2 linked regions of the Elephas maximus indicus genome follow. Each later gene encodes a partner of the first gene's protein in a complex. Links are inferred from orthologs where the notes say so. Each region holds a gene or a part of one and is shown on either strand. Other genes may lie near its edges.

Region 1 (9,463 bases):
CTTGGTTAGAAGTTCAAGTCCACCCAGATTCACCTTGGAAGAAAGACCTGGGGATCTATTTCTAAAAAATTAAAAAAAAGAATTAGCCCTTGAAAACCTTATCGAGGACAGTTCTACTCTGACACACATGGGACCACCAGGGGTCAGAGTTGGCTCTATAGCAACCGGCTTGGCAGAGGAGTGTAAGCACCAAGGTCTTCATACAGAATATTCCTGTCACCCCCCAGAAGTTCTCCCCTGCTCCTTCGCAGTCAATTCACAACCCTCACCCTGGGGATCTGCTTTCTTTTGCCACAGTTTTACCTTTCTTAAAATTTCATATAAATGGAATCGTACGGTATAGAGGTTTTTTTTAGTCTGACTTCCTTCACTTAGCATAATGCTTTTGACATTCATCCATGTTGTATGCATCAGTAATAGCTCCTTGTATGAGGAACCCTGGTAGCGCAGTGATTAAGCACTCGGCTGCTAATTGAAAGGCTGGCCATTGGAACTCACCAGACGCTCTGCAGGAGAAAGATGTGGCAGTCTGCTTCTGTAAAGATGACAGCCTTGGAAACCCTGTGGGGCAGTGCTCTGTCCTATAGTGTCGCTATGAGTCGGGATCGATTAGATGGCAATGCATGTATTCCATTTTGTGCATAGGCTGTGATTTTTCTTCCCCTTCATCAGCAACGAACATTTGAAGTGTTAAGAATGAAGTTCTGTGAACATTTGGGTACAAGCTTTTGTGTGAACAAATATCTTTCATTCCATCAACCTTTATTAATTGGAATTCTTCTGTAAGGAAGAGTTGTCCCTTCTCCTTTGTCCCTATTTATTCAATCATTTAACTTGTCTTTTGAGTAGCCTCTAGGTGGGTTCGAACACCAACTTTTCGGCTAGTAGTAGAATGCTTAACTATTTGCATCACCCAGGGGACACCATAGTAACAGTTACTGCAATGTTTGTTGCAAATATTTCTGTCAGTCCGTAGCTTGTTTTAGTTCTTATCTATGTGTTCTTTCTTGCTCATACATTCTTTTAATGTTGCCATGGAGCAATGATTAAGCATTTGGCTGCTAACCAAAAGGTCGGCAGTTCGAATCCACCAGCTTCTCCTTGGAAACCCTATGGGGCAGTTCTGCTTTGCCCTATAGGGTCACTATGAGAGTTGACTCAACAGCAATGGTTTTTTATGGTCAAACTTATTAATCTTCCCTTTTGGTTATTTACTTTTTATACAAATTTCATCTATTCTAAGATCATAAAAATAAATTTATAGTCTTGACATAACCTATTATTTTTTTGTTTTGTAGTTAGGATTTTAAACTTTCTAGAATTGATGTTTTGTAAATGTGAGCTATAAAGCTAACCTTAATTTTTTCCATACAAAGAATCTGTTGTTCCAGCCTTATTTGTCGCTAGTCTGTCCTTGTTGCACAATCCCATTAATAGTCGTCCGTGTGACCTAGGACCTGTGCAAGGTGCTTTATATGCCTTTCCTTGTCTACATATGCCATCAGCTCCACAAGAAAGGTGCTAGTATTACCCTCATTTTTTTATAATAGACTTTTTAAAGAGCAGTGTTAGGTTTACAGAAAAATTGTGCAGAAAGTACAGAAGTTCCCATATGCCCTCTCCCCCTTGCACAGCCTCTCCTATTACTAACATCTTGCATTAGTGCAGGGCATTTGGTACAATTGTTGAGCCAATATCAACACGTTATTACTAAATAAAGTCCATGGTTTACGTTAGGGTTCACTCTTTGTGTTCTACAGACCTATGGGTCTTGACAAATGTATAATGTCATGTGTCCACCGTTACAGTATCATGGTTTCACTGCCCTCCAAATGCCCTGTGCTTCACCTATTCATCTCTCCCTGCTCTCACTGAGCTTCTGCCAACCACCGATCTTCTCACTATTGCTATAATTTTGCTGTTTCCACAGTATTCTATAGTTGAAGTCATGCTCACCTGCATTTTTCAAATGGGGAAGCTGAGACTCAAAAAGGTTAAGTAACTTGCCCAAGGTCACATAGCTAGTAAGTCACGGAGGCAGAATTTGAACCCAGAGTACATAGAGAGAGCTAGAGATGGGAGTCCCGCAACTCTTGGCTATTCCAATAGAAAATGGGTTTGGGGAGAGAGCTAGGGAACACCTGCACTTAGATCTGGATTTCTCAACCTTGCCACCGTTTGTGTTTTGGACCAGATAGTTCTGTGTGTGTGTGTGTTTGTGTGTGTGTGGCAAGGAGACCACCCTATACATTGTCGGATGTTTAGCAGCATCCGTCACCTCTACGCACTACATACCAGTAGAACTTGCCACTCTCCTCACCCTACCCACTCCCAGCCTTGACAATGAAAAATGTCTCTAGACATTGTTAAATGTCCCCTGGGGGGCAAAATTATCCCCATTTAAAAACCTTAGACAACTCTATTATTCAGTGTAACTATCAATATCAGCTATTAATCATCATTAATGCTAATGGTACAAATTATCAGTGGTGATTTATGTAATATGTATCTTTGGGTTGTTGTTGCCTCTTCGGAGCTGAGGGTCAGAAGGTTCTACCCTTCCCTTTAAGTTACATCTTCTCAGCCTTCTGCGCTTCCAGTCTGTGGGGCCTCCCTCTGCCTGCCAGTGGAGGGGCTCTGCCTCGTCCTGAAAACATGCCAAGCCTGCACTGTGTTCACAGCAGGTACGTGGAAACGCTGGGGCAAGGGTAGGAGAGTCAGGGGCTGGAGGGTGGCTCTTCTCAAAATATTTGCTTTTAACACTTCTTTGGCAATGAATAAAAATAGAGAACAAAAGCCCTGCTGTTGTAAAAAGATACCTAGATCCAGATGTGGCGGGGGCGAAGCATCCTGCATCATTTATGATGCGAGTCAGGCTGTAAACATGTCGCTGTCACGAGCAACGAGTCCCGCCACCTGTGAGTAAAGACCTGCACACAAACATCGGGTCTTCTCAGGCACGGGGTTGTTCAGTGCCCTCAAAGATACAATCTTCTTTCAAATTCCAAAAATGTTTGCAAGACCCAGGGTAATTTAGAGTGCTGTCTTCAGCCTGGCCGGTTGGGATCCTGCATTTTAAAGTCTAAAACTCTGATAAAAATGGTCAGGCATTAGAGAGAAATGAAGTCCCGATACATGCTACAATATTAGTGAACCTTGAAAACATTATGCTGAGTGATGAAAATCTATCACAAAAGGATAAATATCATATGACCTCATTTATATGAAATATCTAGAACAGGCACATGTATAGAGACCAAAGTTTATTAGTGGTTACGGGGTGGGAGGGGTCCCTGAGTGGTGCAAAAGATTTGCACTCATCTGATGGTGAAAACAGCTACACGCTTGACTACTAGCCCAAAGGCTGGTGGTTTGAACCCACCCAGAAGTGCCAAGGAAGTCAGGCCTGGCACTCTGCTTCTGCAAGGTCACAGCCTTGAAAATCCTATGGAGCGGTCCTACTCTGCACACATGAGGTTGCCATGAGTCAACAACAAAAACAAAAACAACCAGTGTAAAGGTTGGTGACTCGAATCTACCCAGTGGCACTGTGGAAGAAAAGACTGGCCGTCTGCTTCTGTAGAGACTACAGCCAAGAAAATCCAAGGGAGCCGTTCTATTCTGTATCACATGGGGTGGCCATGGGTTGGTTTTTAATGGGAGGTGCAGGAGGGAGGGGGAAGGGGAGTCATTGTTTAGGAAGCAGTGAGTTTCTGGTTATCGTGAAATGTGGCAATGGATATTGGTGATAGTTGCACATTACTAACATAATTAGTGTCAGTAAATTGTATATACGAAAAATCTTGAATTGGCAAATGTTGTGTTATACATATCTTTACAAAAAAAAAAAAAAGAGAGACCAGGCAATGAAGGCTCAAAATGATTCTAGTGGCTGTACAAGCCCTCCCATTCCTGCACTGGAGGACCCCCATTCAGCCTGGCCTAGCTCCATGAGGGACCCCTAAAGGCTCAACTCTCCCTGCTACCACAAGGATTTCTGGGAGACAGGTAGACAAGCCTTTTCATGGTGATGTGAGTTCTAGAGCCTTGATATTTCCAGACTTTACCCCACCATCCAGGCTGGCATCCTAGCGAGGGAAAGAAATGGGGTCCTGCCGCTCTTACTCTTCTTGGCCAGCCCATGCCGGAGGTACGGATCACCTCCTTTTCTCAGCTTATTCTTCCCCTCTGGCCCCCGCTGTCTCTCCCCCAGCTCCTACGTCTTCTGGGTCCCCACAGCTCTGAGCTCTCTCCAGGGCTGAGGCTGGGATCACCAACCAACCTGGAGGCGCCCCGAAGGCAGGCCCAGGTCTCCTTCCTCTTCTCTGAGGCCCTTTCATTTTTTAGGGGGGTGGTCTCTCCACTGTGTGAGGTCATCAGTGGGTCAGTGGTAGAATTCTTGCTTTCCATGTAGGAGACTGGAGTTTGATTCCTGGCCAATTCACCTTATGTGCAGCCACCACCCATCTGTTATTGGAGGCTTACATGTTGCTATGACACTGAACAAATTTCAGTGGAGCTTCCAGAGTAACACAGACAAGGAAGAAAGGCCTGGAGGTCTAGTTCCAAAAATAAGCCAATAAAAATTCTATAAATCGTAACAATTGGATCCGAAACCAATCATGAGCTTAATGCAGGACTGGGCAACATTTTTTTCCCTTGCACATGGGGTCACCATGAGTTGGGGGCCAACTCAGCGGCAACCAATAACAACTCCACTGTGTAGACCAACAGAGAATTGGGCTCAGACAGAAAATGGTTAAGAGTATTGGCTAACCGGGTCAGGGAAGGTAATTGTGGATGTCACCTCTCTGGGTCTTTGTCATTAGGACAAACACACAGGCAGACTTGCAGATGATGTGGAAGGGGTGGAGGGCTCAGCCTCTCCCTGCTGGGGATACCTTGTTCCAGCCTCAGGGCCAGGGCTGAGTTGGACAAGATGCCCTGCAGCCCTGGTGAATATTCAGCTGGTTCTGTCCCCTTTGCTGGCTCCTGCCTATGCAAACAGCCACCTGGGAAGGGGGGCAGAGGTGGTGGCAGCAGCTGAAGCAGCAGAGGATAGAAGGTGGGAGAGGAAAGAAGGCAGAGGCTCCCCAGGCTGACGGAGCCACGCTAAGCCCACTATGGACAGGCGGCTGTGGGGTGCTTCCATCCTCTGCTTGCTGAACCTCTTACCGACCGTGAGTACCTGGCTCAGACCCTCCTGCCTCTCCCACTGGGCTCCTGATCTTGGAGCCCAACGGCCAGATGGGGGCCCAGCTGGAGTCTGCCGAGACTCCACTGCCCACACCCAGCACGGGGGTCCCTACCATGCAGGTGCGGGCCCTGGCTTGGAGAACTCCTGACACAGGGGCTCCGTCCTTCCCTTGTCCAGGCAGCCTATGCTACCTTGGGAAGCCCGGGCCATCACACCCAAGGTATGCCTCAGAACTGGGGAGACAAAGTCAGCACCAACTCCTTACATCCCAAGCTACCTGTTCCTCTCAGCTTCCAGTTGCCCTTGAGTTGAATCTAACTCATGGTGACCCTATACGTGTCGGAGTAGACCTGTGTGCCATAGGGTTTTCCAGGCTGATTTTTTTTGCAAGTAGTTCGCCAGGCCTTTCTTCCAGGGCACTTCTGGGTGCACTCGAGCCTTCAACCTTTCAGTTAGCAGCAGAGTGTGTTACAAGTTTATACCACCCAGGGCCTCCTCTCAGCTATGCATCCCCACTTCTTATACGCACTCCTCCTCTGATAAGGTTTTCAGGTCCCTCTGTCTCCCCATGACTCCTTGAACTGTGCTCCAGCTCTGATGTTTCCCTCTAGGAGTGCGTGGCCAGAGCTGGCCCCAGGACTGAGTAGGGCCTGAGTAGTATTTGGAGAACCAACTGCTCCCCTCTGGCATTCTCACAAAATGGAACCCTGGTGGCGCAGTGGTTAAAGTGCTTGGCTACTAACCAAAAGGTTGGCAGTTTGAACCCACCAGGTGCTCTGCGGGAGAAAGATGCGGCAGTCTGCTTCTGTAAAGATTACAGGATTACAGCCTTGGAAACCTTATGGGGCAGTTCTACTCTGTCCTTCAGAGTCACTACGAGTCAGAATCACCTCCATGGCAGTGGGTTTGGTTTGGTTTTGGGTTTTCCTCTCACAATATGCCTTGGAGAAGTGTTTGGTGCCAAATATTGCTCTGAGGCCTAGAACGCTGGAGAATAGGCAGCAGGACAGAGGGGCCCCTCTGTACGTCCTGCAATTATCCTGCGTATTTTCCAGGATGTTCCACCATGTGACAGCAGGGACCAGGAGGGTAGCCACAACGTACTGGGTGGGGCAGCCCCAGCTCCCAGGAGCTCCTCAGAGCCACATGGACTGGGACCTCCTTTTCCCCTGTTGCCTCAGTTCCCCTGGCTTGTTGGGGGGGAGGTGCCACCCCCAGCACCCTTGCTGCACCTGATGCCAGAGACACAGGCCTCGGCTTGAACCCTGGCCCCATCAAACTAGCTGTGTGACCCCGGGTAAATTCCACCCTTCCTGAGCCTAACTTGCTGCTTTTGTAAAGAATGAAAGTGCTACCTACTTGCAGGGTTGTTGTGCCTTCGGTGAAAGCTGGTTTGTCAAGGGCTAGGCATAGGGTGCCATGCATGGAGCTTCCATGCCCTCTTCATCTGGGCTGAGGGCAGCCTCATTCCTCTTACCTGTGCGAGCCCCACACTGAAAGCTTTACCTTTGGAGGGGGAACCGAGGCCCTCTGGTGGTCATTCAGCAGCCAAGGCTGGCGTCTCCCAGGGAAGGCTCCACTCTCCATAGGCGAGGCCAGTGTTGAGGAAGATGGAGTGGGCCTTTGGGATAGAGTGGGATTCAGTATGTGAGATGGGGTGAACTGAGACAGCCTTTGGGTCGCCTTCCCAGTCCCCTTCCCCCGACAGTCACTGCTTTTTAGCTGGCCCTGAGTCCCCACATCCGGGTGATTAGTTGGGCTTCCCAGTATTTTCCTGCTTCCCTGAGGAAGTGTGGGGGCCAGGGCTGGACTACCCAATAAGCAAGGTATGCACGGGCCCAATTGTGCCTTCCCACCAATCTGCAGTGCACAATTTCACCTGTGAAATTCCTCACCACAAATTAGCAAGTAAATACAGTTAAGTGCTTGTGTACCTTGCTCAATGCAAGCTGGTGTATATTGTGCTTACCTGGCTAATTTGCCTGGTGGGGGCTGCCATTCCTTCTTCTTGGTTGGAAGCTGCCCATCAATACCCTAGTCCCTCTGGCCTCAGTGGCTCCCCACACAGGCTCTGATATGTTCCCAGAAGGACTGGGGCTCCCAGATTGGTGACAAAGGAAGGACAGGCAGAGACTACGGCTCTCTAAACACCCCAGGGTTACAACTAGGCTGCTGGATAAGAACATCTCAATGAGGCTTGCCTGCCTCCAAACCTTCCTGCATTCCTGTGCTTAGTATGTTCTGGGCAGATGAGACCGGGCCGCATACAGGCCTGGGGTCACTGAGTCTTGAAGGGAAACCGAGAGCAGTTTGGGCATCCACCAAAATGGAGACACAGAGCCTGGACGGTCGGCGACATCTGCAGCCTAAGGCCCCACAGGACTACACAGGAGATGGCAGAACTATTGAGCAGTTGAGCCCAAACTGGGTTTTGGAAAGTGGGATCAGCAGATCGGGGACTGGAGTGGCCCCCTCTCCAGTGACAGGGCTGGTAGGGGTGGCCCCACTTGCTGGGTTGGGCCTCTTCCTCATCTCCTAGCCCACAGCTCTGTAGCAAGGTCCTTGGATTCCTCCTGGGTGGTCACTCACTGTCCACCGTCCCAACTCTGGTTTCAGCCCCTGTCTCACACCCCCTGCACTCTTCATGATACCTGTATTTCAAACCAGACTGTCATTGTTAGTTGCTGTCAAGTTCGCTCCAACTCATGGCAATCCCATGTAAAAGAGAATGAAATGTTTCATGATCCTGCTTCATCCTCATGATCGTTGGTATGTTTGAGTCCATTATTGTGGCCACTGTGTATTTGGAGTGTCTTCCACCCTAGGGGGCTCATCTGTTGTAATCCTTAGGGTCTTCACGGGCAAAATTTCAGAAGTAGATCACCAGGCCTTTCTTCCTAGTCTGTCTTAGTCTGGAAGCTCTGCTGAGACCTGTCCAACATGGATGACCTTGCAGACTACTGGGCACTGCAGTTGTTGCTGTAGTAAGAGGAGAGCCCCAGAGAATTTTGAAGTGGTGCACATAACATATTCAATACATTTATTAATCTTCCTAAGTTTCTATTCACTTATCATCTGTCTGTCTATCTGTCTATCCATCCATCCATCCATCCACCCACCCACCCACCCATCCACCCGCCCACCCATCCACCCAGCCATCCATCCATCCACCCACCCATCCATCCATCCACCCATCCACCCGCCCACCCATCCACCCGCCCACCCATCCACCCAGCCATCCATCCACCCACCCATCCATCCATCCACCCACCCACCCACCCATCCATCCATCCACCCAGCCATCCACCCAGCCATCCATCCATCCACCCACCCACCCACCCACCCATCCATCCATCCAGCCATCCACCCACCCATCCATCCACCCAGCCATCCATCCATCCACCCACCCATCCATCCATCCATCCATCCATCCAGCCATCCATCCATCCACCCACACCCATCATCCATCCACCCAGCTATCCATACATACATTTACCCAAATATTCATCCAATACATCTTATATGTCCTGTGAGCCAGGCCATGTGATTAGGATTAGGGGCACAGAAATTCTCTGTGCTCAGGTTATTTGGGCCAGTGGACCTTAAAGGAGCGTCTGATGGGCTCGCCTCATCCCGTAACTCTTTCCTGCAGGCACTGGGTCTTGTGCACCCAGAATGTGACTTCCTCATGCAGTTGAGAGAGGATGAGCATGTGTGTCTTCAAGCAGCAGAGAGGATGCCCAACACCACCCTGGGTATGGGGCTTGGGAGGGAAGTGGGGGCTGAAGGGTGGGAGGAGGCTTCTCTGAACCCTTGATTTCTTGCAGCCTCACCACTCAGAATGCTAGAGGAGCCTTCTCATGGGCCGAGTTGACATTGCCCTGTCTCTCAATCTAGGCTGCCCTACCACCTGGGATGGGCTACTGTGCTGGCCGAAGGCAGGCTCTGGCGAGTGGGTCACTCTTCCCTGCCCAGATTTCTTCTCTCACTTCAGCTCAGAGTCAGGTAAGGAGTGCTGGGCGTGGTGTGTGTGTGTGGGTGGGGAAGGAGAAGGTGGTTTCCTGTGGTCATGGCAGAACGTGGTGGACACATCCCTGGCTTGGGAGGCAGGACAATCTGGATTTAAATACCAACTTCCCCTCTTCCAGTGTGACCTTGGGCGAGTCAGTCAACCTTCTGACCCTCACCTTCCTTAGCTGTGAACTGGGGAGAATAAGAGTACTTGCTACCCAGGGCAGGAGAATTAGTGTGGCGAGTTTAGGTTCT
Region 2 (9,442 bases), on another chromosome or scaffold:
CCCTCATTGGTGCCCTGGTGGTGCAGCGGTTAAGAGCTTGGCTGCTAACCAAAAGTTTGACAGTTCGAATCCACCAGGCGCTCCTTGTAAACCCCGTGGGGCAATTCTACTCTGTCCTATAGGGTTGCTATGAGTCGGAATCGACTTGACAGGAACGGATTTTTTTTTTTTTTTTACTTCACTAAAAGAGCTCTTCTAGTGACCTTCTCAAGGAGCCCTGGTGGTACAATGGTTAAGCACTTGACTGCTAACTGAAAGGTCAGCTACCAATGGTTCCTTAGAAGGAATGACCTGTCGATCTCCCGTAAAGATTAGAGCCTAGGAAACCCTGTCAGGGCAGTCCTACTCTGTCCTATAGGGTTGCTATTCTGACGGCACACAACAACAACAATGACCTTCCCAAACACTGATTTTTCTGGAAAGAGATGAACTTCTGAATTGCCATCTTATCGGAGATCCTCTTGCCTGATAGTTGACAAATGTTTTACAGACGCCATGACTATTGTGAGATAAAGGGAAAAGACTCCATCAGCCCCATTTTTTAGAAGAGGAAACTGAGGCTCAAAGAAGTCAAGCGACTTTGCCTGAGCCTACCCATCAAGGCCACGACACTCAAACCCTGGTCCCCTCTCTCAGACATAGCACTCATGTGACATCTGCTGCTGAGGACTCCATAGAAACAAACCTAGAAGAGAGTAGGGGTCAAGGGAATCTGGGAGTCCAGAGTCCAGGCTTCCCCCTTCCCTGCGCGGTAGTCTCGGGCTGGGAACACTGCCATAATCCAGGGAGGGTGATGAAGGCAGCTTTTACAAAGCAGGGTCTGAGGCCCTCAGACAGGCCCCTTTTGTGGACTTCCTCTCCCCTCCCCACCCCAACCCCCCCTTCAGCATCTTTGAATGTCTGGCTGGAACACACTGGAAATTTGCAACACAAATGCACGGCTTGTATCCTTCTCAGCTGAGTCTCTCCGCCCCAGCTCTTTGGGGCCTCTTAAAGCCTGCCATTCTCTCGGGTGCTTTCTTTCCACAGCTCAAGCCCCTGGCTCCTAGATGCAGCCACGATCGCTAATTAACGCCGGGTTAAAACGCATCCTGGGAAAGAGAGCCGGGTGTGGAACTAGGCCTTCTCACTGGCTCTCAGAGGACAAGGAAGATGCAGGCGGTGGGATTTGCTGGAGGGGGTTGGGCTCTCATATGGGGCACACTGGCTCTTCTTGGCTTCCTGCCTTCATCCTCTTCCTCCATGGGTTTGAGAATCTACTGCAAATACAGCTTGTCATCTAAACAGCTCACAGCTCTTCCCCGCCACTACCCCAGCCAGCATCCAGGGTTCAGCTCTGATAATAAGAATTATAACAACAGCTACCCTTGGCCAAGAACCTATGTATCAGGCACTTGACAAGCATATCTCTGATCCTTACAACAACCCGGGGAGGTAGGTATTACCACACTGTTAATAAGAAGGGAAATGGAGGCTCCAAATCAATAGACTCCTCTGAGTACATAGGAAATTTAACAGAGGTCACTGACCCATGTGGAATGCACCCTGACCACTAACAAGGAGACAGGCTGATCATAAAATCCCAGACCCCCTCTGTGCAAAGAATTTAACTTCACTGAAGATTAAACTAGTCTTTGCCCTTGTTTTCTGAAAAGACAATTTTAAACCTTTGGAGTTTCCTGAGTAATTGAGATACCTCAGCTAGGTCACAAAGTCCACCTGGCAATCTCAGGAAGGAAAGAAAGCTTGATTGAATTTATGGTAAAGTTAGACAACAGTTAATATTCTACCTTGTGTTTACTTTCTTTCCCTAAAACTCATTGTAACAGGCCTAAGAAGAAACCTCGGCTTCTCTGAACAGGTTTTCCCCATATGCATACCAATTAACTGCCCAAATAAACCTTATGTTTTCATTTCTTTGTGCTTTGATTATTTTTACAACCTCCATTGTACAGATGAGATAACCGAGGCTCATAAAGATCAAGCACGTTGCCCAGAATCACACTGCTTGTAAATGGGTTTCAAATCCAAATCCATTTGCCACCTAAGCCTTTGCTCCTTTTTCAGGCCCAGCTGCTTCTCTCCCCTCCTGTCTGATGCCCTCCCAGCTTTGCGTGACTTCTCCCTTCTCTCAGGTCTCGGAGCATGTATGGTGTGTCTTCCTTTGGCTCTACCGGCTGGGATCGTTGCCCAGCTTCCTGTCTGCCTGCCTCCAGAAGCTCTCTGAAGACAAGAACTGTGTCCACACGCTGTGCTTTCCTCCCAGCAGGGGGGAAAGGCCTGCCCCACTCTCCTAAAAGGCAGAGAAGGAACCAGGTCTTTCAGTGACAGTGAATCCCGTGAACTCCATTTGGACCTTGTTAGGTGCTTAATAAGTGTTTGTAGGATGAGGAAATAAATGCTTCTTTAAGAGCTCACGAATTGCTGGGGAGCCTCCTCCATCACTGCTGGTGGGAATGTAAATGGTACGGCCTCTTTGGGAAATAGTTTAAAAAGGTAAATGTACACCTACCATAAAACTGAAAAACCAGCTGCCGTTGAGTTGATTCCATCTTGTGGTGACCCCATGTGTGTCAGAGTAGAACTGCGCTCCATAGGGTTTCAACGGCTGATTTTTTAGAAGCAGATCAAGTCTTTCTTCCGACGTACCTCTGGGTGGATTCAAACAGCCAAACTTTCAGTTAGCAGCCAAATGTGTTAACCATTTATACCACCCAGGATTTTCATTAAAAAAACATTGCCGCCAAGTCGATTTCCACTCGTACTGACCCTATACGACAGGGTAGAACTGCCCCCATAGGGTTTCCAAGGAGTGGCACGTAGATTCGAACTGCTGACCTTTTGGTTAATAGCCAAGCTCTTAACCACTGTGCCACCAGGATTTTCATATGAGCCAGCAATTCTACTCCCAGGTACCTACCCAAAAGCAGTGAAAACATACATTCACACAAAGTCTTGTACACAAATGTTCGTAGCAGCATTATTCGTAATGGTCCAAAGCTGGAATCAATCTAAATGCCCATTAACAGGTGAAAGGATAAACAAACTGTGATACATCCATATAATAAAATATTACCCAGCAATAAAAAGGAACAAGCTAGAGAAACACGGAATAACATGGATGAATCTCGAAAGTATTATGCTGAGTGAAAAAAGTCTGACACCAAAGAACAAATGTTGTATGCTTCCATTTATATGAACTTTCAGAAAACTGATCTGTGCTTGCCTGGGGCTTGAGTTGGGAATAGGAATTGATAGTAAAACAGGATTGTGGTGATGGTTACATAACTGTATAAATTTATGAAAACTCATTTAATTGTAGGCTTAAAAGAGGTGAGTTTTGTGGTATGTGAATTACTCTTCAATAAAACTGATAAAATTCTTGACAAAAAAGAAAGGTGGGACCAAGGAAGGGTCTTAGGAGAACATCATCTTGGCATGGGGCACTGAATTTGGGAGTCAGAAAACTTTTGTTTGAGTCCTGGCTCTACTACTGATCAGCTCTGTGACTGTGGGTGAGTGTGCAGCATCTCTGTGCCTCTGTTTCCTCATTTGTAACAACAATAGCAATGGCAATAGCTCGTTTGTGAGGCTTACCCTATGCCAGGCCTGTGCTCTGTGCACTGGCACATTTAATCCTCACCCAACAGCCTCATGACTTGAGCTCTATCACTCCCATTTTACGTAAGACAAAGAAACCAATATCAGGCATGAATTCCTTAGTGCAGTGTCTGGCACAAATCATCCACTGGGGTTGAATCCTGATCCCTATGGCTTCTCCAGCCAACGCCATGTGTCCTGCACCTGCGCTGTGGCTCAGCATCCAGTTCTACGCGGTTCCCAGTGTGCATTTTCTGGGGTAACCTCTCATCCTCTTGTCTGCGCAATGACCCATTGCCCTTGGGGTTCCCAACTACTCCATCTGCCACCTGCTGCTGTGTTCCATCAGCCCACTCTGAATCTCTGGATGTGGCCTAATTTGGCCACTTCATGTCGATGCCAGCAGGCTGACATGCTACTCAGTCCCTGCTTTTCTGGGGAGCATTTGATGTGTGTTCTCTGCCAAGAGCATCACTCTGCACAGGCTAAGCAGCAGAAATCACAAAATATCATTGCTAGATGGGCCCTTGGAAACTTCTGGTAGTTTCAGTAGTTTCATTGTCCCGGGGGCAAGCAAAGGGGGTCTGTGCTCCCCCTTCTTCAACCAGCACAGCCACATTTTTCATCTGTTTTGTATACTGCACTTCCACAGAAGATTTCTGAGGAAAAAGTTATGCCAGTTCTTAAAAAAAGTTTGGAAGCTGCTGCTCTGAGCCAACTCTTGAGTTCCCAGGTAAAGAAACTGAGGCCTGGAGGGGTGAAGTCACTTGCTGAGGGTTACAGAAGTCGTGAAGGACAGGCCCGGGGCGGGGAGGCAGCCAGTGTCTGGACTCATGGTTTGGAGCTCTTTCCACGCCTCCACAACAACTGAATGGTAAATCAGCGCATCTGCCTTGCCACTCCTTTATGTCATTCTTTGAAGATTCCTCAGCTACAGGCTAGAGATGTCTGGAAACACAACTCTCCTAAGGCTTCTCATCTCTTTCCTTTCACTTCAAGCGTCTCTGAGGCAAGAGCCGATGCTGGGTTGTTTGATGTATCATGATACATACCTCGGGCTAGCTGCCTAAACCAGCCTGTGACTGCAGCAGGAACAAATGAAATGGAGGAAAATCTTGATAATTGGATGACAAGGGAGACAGCAATCAACTTTCCTCACTAAGGAGAGAAAAACACTAAGGGGAGAAAATCTCGATAATTGGATGACAAGGGAGATAGCAATAAACTTTCCTCACTAAGGAGAGAAAAACACTTATTGGTAAAGTTTCCCACCCTAAAGTGAAATAAAGTTACACCCGGACAACACAAAACTATATGAAAAATTTAACAGGCACGTTTGTCTCAGAGAAGAGATGAATCCTTGGTGTTTCATTGTTGTAAGTACTCCAATTATTAGAGCAGCACTATTATACTCTCTACTCCTCCCAGAATAATAGTACAACTTTGTACTCTGTTCACCCTCCTCAAAGATAAAGGGGAAGCTCAGTACACATCTAATTTGCAAGGGGCAAAACCTCTTTCCCCTATTAGGGTTTTGTCAGTGTGATGCTAAAATTGGTCCTTCGGTTGACTTGTAGGTAATTGATTCTCTGACGCTGACAAAGCTTGGGAAAATGAAGGTATAAATGATGGGAGTGCCATGCAGCTGCCGGAGCAAACGCTGAGCTCAAGCCTGTGGGACTGGAGCAGTGCCTCATAGCAGAGGGAGACCTGCCACATCAGAGGTGAGAGAGGGTGGCCCTGGGGGCTAGGCTGGTTGGGGGCAAGAAAAGTTGATGTTCTCACCAACTCAGAAAAGCCAACTCAAAGAGGCCCTCCGCACCATCCTCTTTGACCACGGACTGGTGAGTGCATTTGGGCCCCTCTCTAGATAAAATAACCCCTTGTCCGGGGCTCTGGCACATGCTTTCAATGGTTGGTGCCATTTTGAAGTCATCTTGGATGCTGTGGCGCCTTAACCCATGGAGAAGCAGCAGGTGAGCATGTTCCAAGCAACTGTTGGAGGTAAGGGAGGTATCAATGCACCTTCAGGGGTGTACAGGCAGGCTTTGGGGGCTAGATTCTCTTGTTAATGGCAAGGTTCTTCCAAGGATCTGAGAGGAAACAAGTGGACGTGCAAATCAATACTGCTCATCAATCACTCAGAACCGATTCAACATAATTGCCTGGAAATTAATAACATATTGCTTTCTTGGAAACCCTGATGGCGTAGTGGTTAAGAGCTATGGCTGCTAACCGAGAGGTCAGCAGTTTGGATCCACCAGGTGCTCCTTGGAAACTGTATGGGACAGTTTGACTCTGTCCTATAGGGTTGCAATGAGCCGGAATCGCCTTGATGGCAACAGTTTTTTTTTTTTTTTTTTTGGTTTTTCACTTTCTTGTTCACTTGCAGCCGTGTTCCCTACTCTAGGTTTTAGACAAAATTTTCCACCCTGGGTGCTCTCCATTACGCGACTCTTGTCTCTTGACCTTTACTGTAATGGTTCTTATGTATTCCTGTCTTTCACCATAAGCAGCCTCAAATCCTTTCTGAAAGATGGTAGGTGCCACTCCTGAATGACAATTAAGATGCTTCCTCATTGAGCACTTACATTTCCTTCAACTTGGAACATTCTTGGTGAAACAGTTAAACTGGATCAGGATTTCATTGTTTTTTGTTGTTGGTTGCTGTCAAGTAGATTCCGACTCACAGTGACCCTGTGTGACAAAGTAGAACTGCCCCATTGGGTTTTCTAGTCTGTAATCTTTACTGGAGCAGATCTCCAGGTCTTTCTCCCATGGAGCTGCTGGGTGGGTTCGAACCACCAACCTTTCAGTTAGCAGCTGATAGCTGAAAAGTTGGGCCACCAGGACTCCTTGCTCCTTGTCATTGTCTTATAGTCACCAGGGCCCCTCAGGTCATGGCTTTAGAAGTCTCGAATTACAAAGCAGAATATTTAGGAAAGGTGGAACATTTTTTCCTAGGTGTTCAAAAGTGGTCTTACTTGTTTTGACACTTGAGACCTAACCTCTGTCTTTAGCAGAAGTCCACATCTGCAGAATTCTCAGTGCGTTCTTGGCAGGAAGGCTAGCAGAGGGTGCCAACTAATGTCGACCAATTGCCCATTCATCCTGTAGCCAGACAACCTCAAATGCATCTAATCACAGAATTGGTTTGGAAGCACTGCAGAAAGCAAAATGATATTCATAATGAGAGATAATAAACCCTAAAATGCCTTTGGAGTCTTCAACGGGTCCTCAGGAATGATGTTGAGTTTGTGTTACACATAAGTCAGTGAATTTCAGCTTCTTGGAATGGCCCTGTGTAAACTGTCTGCCAACAGCTGTTTTATCCTTTGTTGCCCAAATTCTTATCCTAACTCTAGTCTTAAACTGGACAATTCTGGTTGTTTCCCATCTTTGTCGGTGGAGTTTTGCAACCCCATGCACTGTGTTCTCATAGCCCGGTGGTTGCAAGAGTGCCTTCACCCATGCCAAGTGTAGTGCCACTTGGTTACCCAGAATGATGTAATAAACCTCATTTTGAGTGAGCAGGGTGTTACAGCATTTACTATTACTTGCTCCCCAAATTCTGCCCTCTTATGAGGTATTTTCAACTCCTTGAAACCACTGTGAGCTTAGGGAGACACCATTCAAGCAGGTGCCCCTGTTTGCTCCCTTTTTTTCTTCCCCTGAGTCCGGATGACAAAGGGTGAAAGCTTTCTGTTTCTTTGGCACTGTTTCCCACATGCAGGTGATGAATTCTGAAGTGTCCCATGAATAGGGAGTACCGTGAATAGGGTAGTGTATCTGGGGGGCCGCGGCGTGGAGCAGGAGGAAGGCCACTGGCCTGGGAATTGGAAGGCCCGTTCTGAAGAGCCCACTCCGAAACTAATTGGATGGAGGGCCATGGAAAAAGGCCCTTCTCCTCCCTGGACTCGTTTCCTTGGCTATAAAATGGGAATCGTGATACCTGCTCCAGAGGATGGGAGTGCGGGTAGGCTGGGCAGACCCGGGGGGGGGGGCACAGGGACTGGGAACCAACTGGGCTGGCCCTATGGAGAAGGGGCAGGAGGTGAGGAGGCAGAGGGGAAGCTTAGGCGGAGAAGAGGGACTTGGGCTTTGCTCTAGAGGGAGTGGAGAGCCAAGGGGCTTCTAGAAGGAGAATGAGGTGACTGGGTGCCTGGATGTGCCCAAACCTTGCAAAGATCGGCAGTAAAGAAGGCAAGAAAGCGTAGGCTGCAGCTGGGTGACTGGAGAAGCAATGGTTCTGGAGCTCTTGGTTAATGGGCTCTCCTTGCCCCCAAAGATCTCCCTGCTTAGCCAATCCCACTGTCAGAGGTGCAGCTTGGGACAGTTGGGAAAAGAAAGCCAGACATGATGTGGTAAGTTAAGAAGGACAGACTGAAGGTCCTTGGCCTGAGGAGCAAAACTTCTCTAAAGGGCTCCTTATGTGGATGAAGGTGGATACTAAAGGGCAGCCCTTGGGGGCAGACACCATGCTCTAGTCTTTTCTCTAGCTCCCATCCTTACTGGAATAGCGGAGGCAGAGCCCTGGTGGTGCAATTGTTAAGCACTTGACTGCTAACCGAAAGGTCGGCAGATCAAACCCACCAGGCGCTCTGCAGGAGAAAAGACCTGGCAACCTGCTCCCATAAAGATTACAGCCTAAGAAACCCTATGGGACAGTTATACTCTGCCATATAGGGCACTATGAATCGGAATAGACTGGAGGGCACACAACAACAACGAGGGTAAGGGGATTCGGGCTTGATACAAGGTGAGAAAGACTTCCTAACAATAAGAACTGCCTGGAAAGAGGACTGGCTTGGGGGTAGTGAGCCCCTGGTCACTCACTGGCAGCAAGTGTAGAGCAGGAACTGGAGGGCTGCCTGTGTGTATGGGGGGACACATGTGGAAGGGGCTGATGACTGAGCCCTAGGCGGCTTCTTCCTCCAGCTCTGGAGGTGCAGGGGCCTCATACCTCAGTGAGCCGCCCATGGTGGGTGCCCTCTCTGGAACCCCAGTGTCTGGAGTGAGGTGGATGATTCCTTGACAGCACAGGTGAACACAGAAGTGGAAGGTAGGTTCTTCCAGTGCAGGCCCAGTCTACCGGACCCCACGTCTCAGCAGGCCCAGGGAGGAGGAGGAAAGGGAGCCATGTTGGATGATCATGGGAAAGGAGGCTTCGGGATGGATCTGCATCCCCTTGAAGACTATCTCCTGCTGAGCCAGGGGGGACCTAGGGAAGGCCCAGTTCCTGGTTGGCTTAAGTCACCCCGGGCCAGCCTTTCCCATATTGGGACAGGTCTGGGTTGGCAGCCCTGGCATCCTCCCAGGTGAGGCGGGCTCTTTCCCTGCTGACTGCTTCCGCTAATTGCAGAGCACAGTGTCAACAGGCCCCAACTAAGTGCAATTACAAGATCTAAGAAATTATTCAGCCATACTGGCTCCCCAGGCGCTGGGGTCTTCTCCAGGGCTCAGACTCCTCAGTGGAATCTAAGCTTCTGGAGTAGGATTTACAACCAACCATCCTTCCTTCCCTCCAACTCCACGCAAAATAAACACAGGATAAGCCTGACCTCAGAGGGGGTCTAACATTAGGCAATCATTTTTTTCATCCTTCCTTCCCTCCAACTCCACGCAAAATAAACACAGGATAAGCCTGACCTCAGAGGGGGCCTAACATTAGGCAATCGCCAAAAACCCACCCAGTGCCATCGAGTTGATTCTGACTCATAGTGACCCTATAGGACAGAGTAAAACTGCCCCATAGAGTTTCCAAGGAGCTCCTGGAGGATTCGAACTGTCCATCCTCTGGTTAGCAGCCATAGCCACCAGGGTTTCCAGCAATGGCCTATTG

What was found.
Region 2: the proteins of GHRHR (region 1) and GHRH are in contact, whole or in part, in a cryo-EM structure (PDB 7CZ5), measured with the Homo sapiens proteins. The link is inferred for Elephas maximus indicus from reciprocal best matches to the Homo sapiens genes GHRHR and GHRH. Residues at the interface, in NP_000814.2 of Homo sapiens: Leu119, Ala120, Glu122, Glu123, Phe126, Ser127, Val129, Lys130, Tyr133, Val179, Lys182, Leu186, Phe187, Asp190, Thr192, Asp193, His194, Cys195, Phe197, His210, Thr213, Phe217, Ala271, Cys272, Asp274, Leu275, Asp276, Trp282, Ile285, Ile289; in NP_066567.1 of Homo sapiens: Tyr32, Ala33, Asp34, Ala35, Ile36, Phe37, Thr38, Asn39, Ser40, Tyr41, Arg42, Val44, Leu45, Gly46, Gln47, Leu48, Ser49, Ala50, Leu53.

Annotation. Positions count from the first base shown.
Region 1 is NC_064826.1:92,364,278-92,373,740, forward strand, and holds the start of GHRHR (growth hormone-releasing hormone receptor), read left to right. Parts: upstream 1-5,123; coding exon 5,124-5,180; intron 5,181-8,849; coding exon 8,850-8,952; intron 8,953-9,094; coding exon 9,095-9,202; intron 9,203-9,463.
Region 2 is NC_064843.1:32,291,471-32,300,912, forward strand, and holds the start of GHRH (somatoliberin), read left to right. Parts: upstream 1-5,188; 5' UTR 5,189-5,324; intron 5,325-7,196; exon of another isoform or gene 7,197-7,240; intron 7,241-7,369; exon of another isoform or gene 7,370-7,576; intron 7,577-8,538; exon of another isoform or gene 8,539-8,662; intron 8,663-9,442. UniProt on the Homo sapiens protein: GRF is released by the hypothalamus and acts on the adenohypophyse to stimulate the secretion of growth hormone.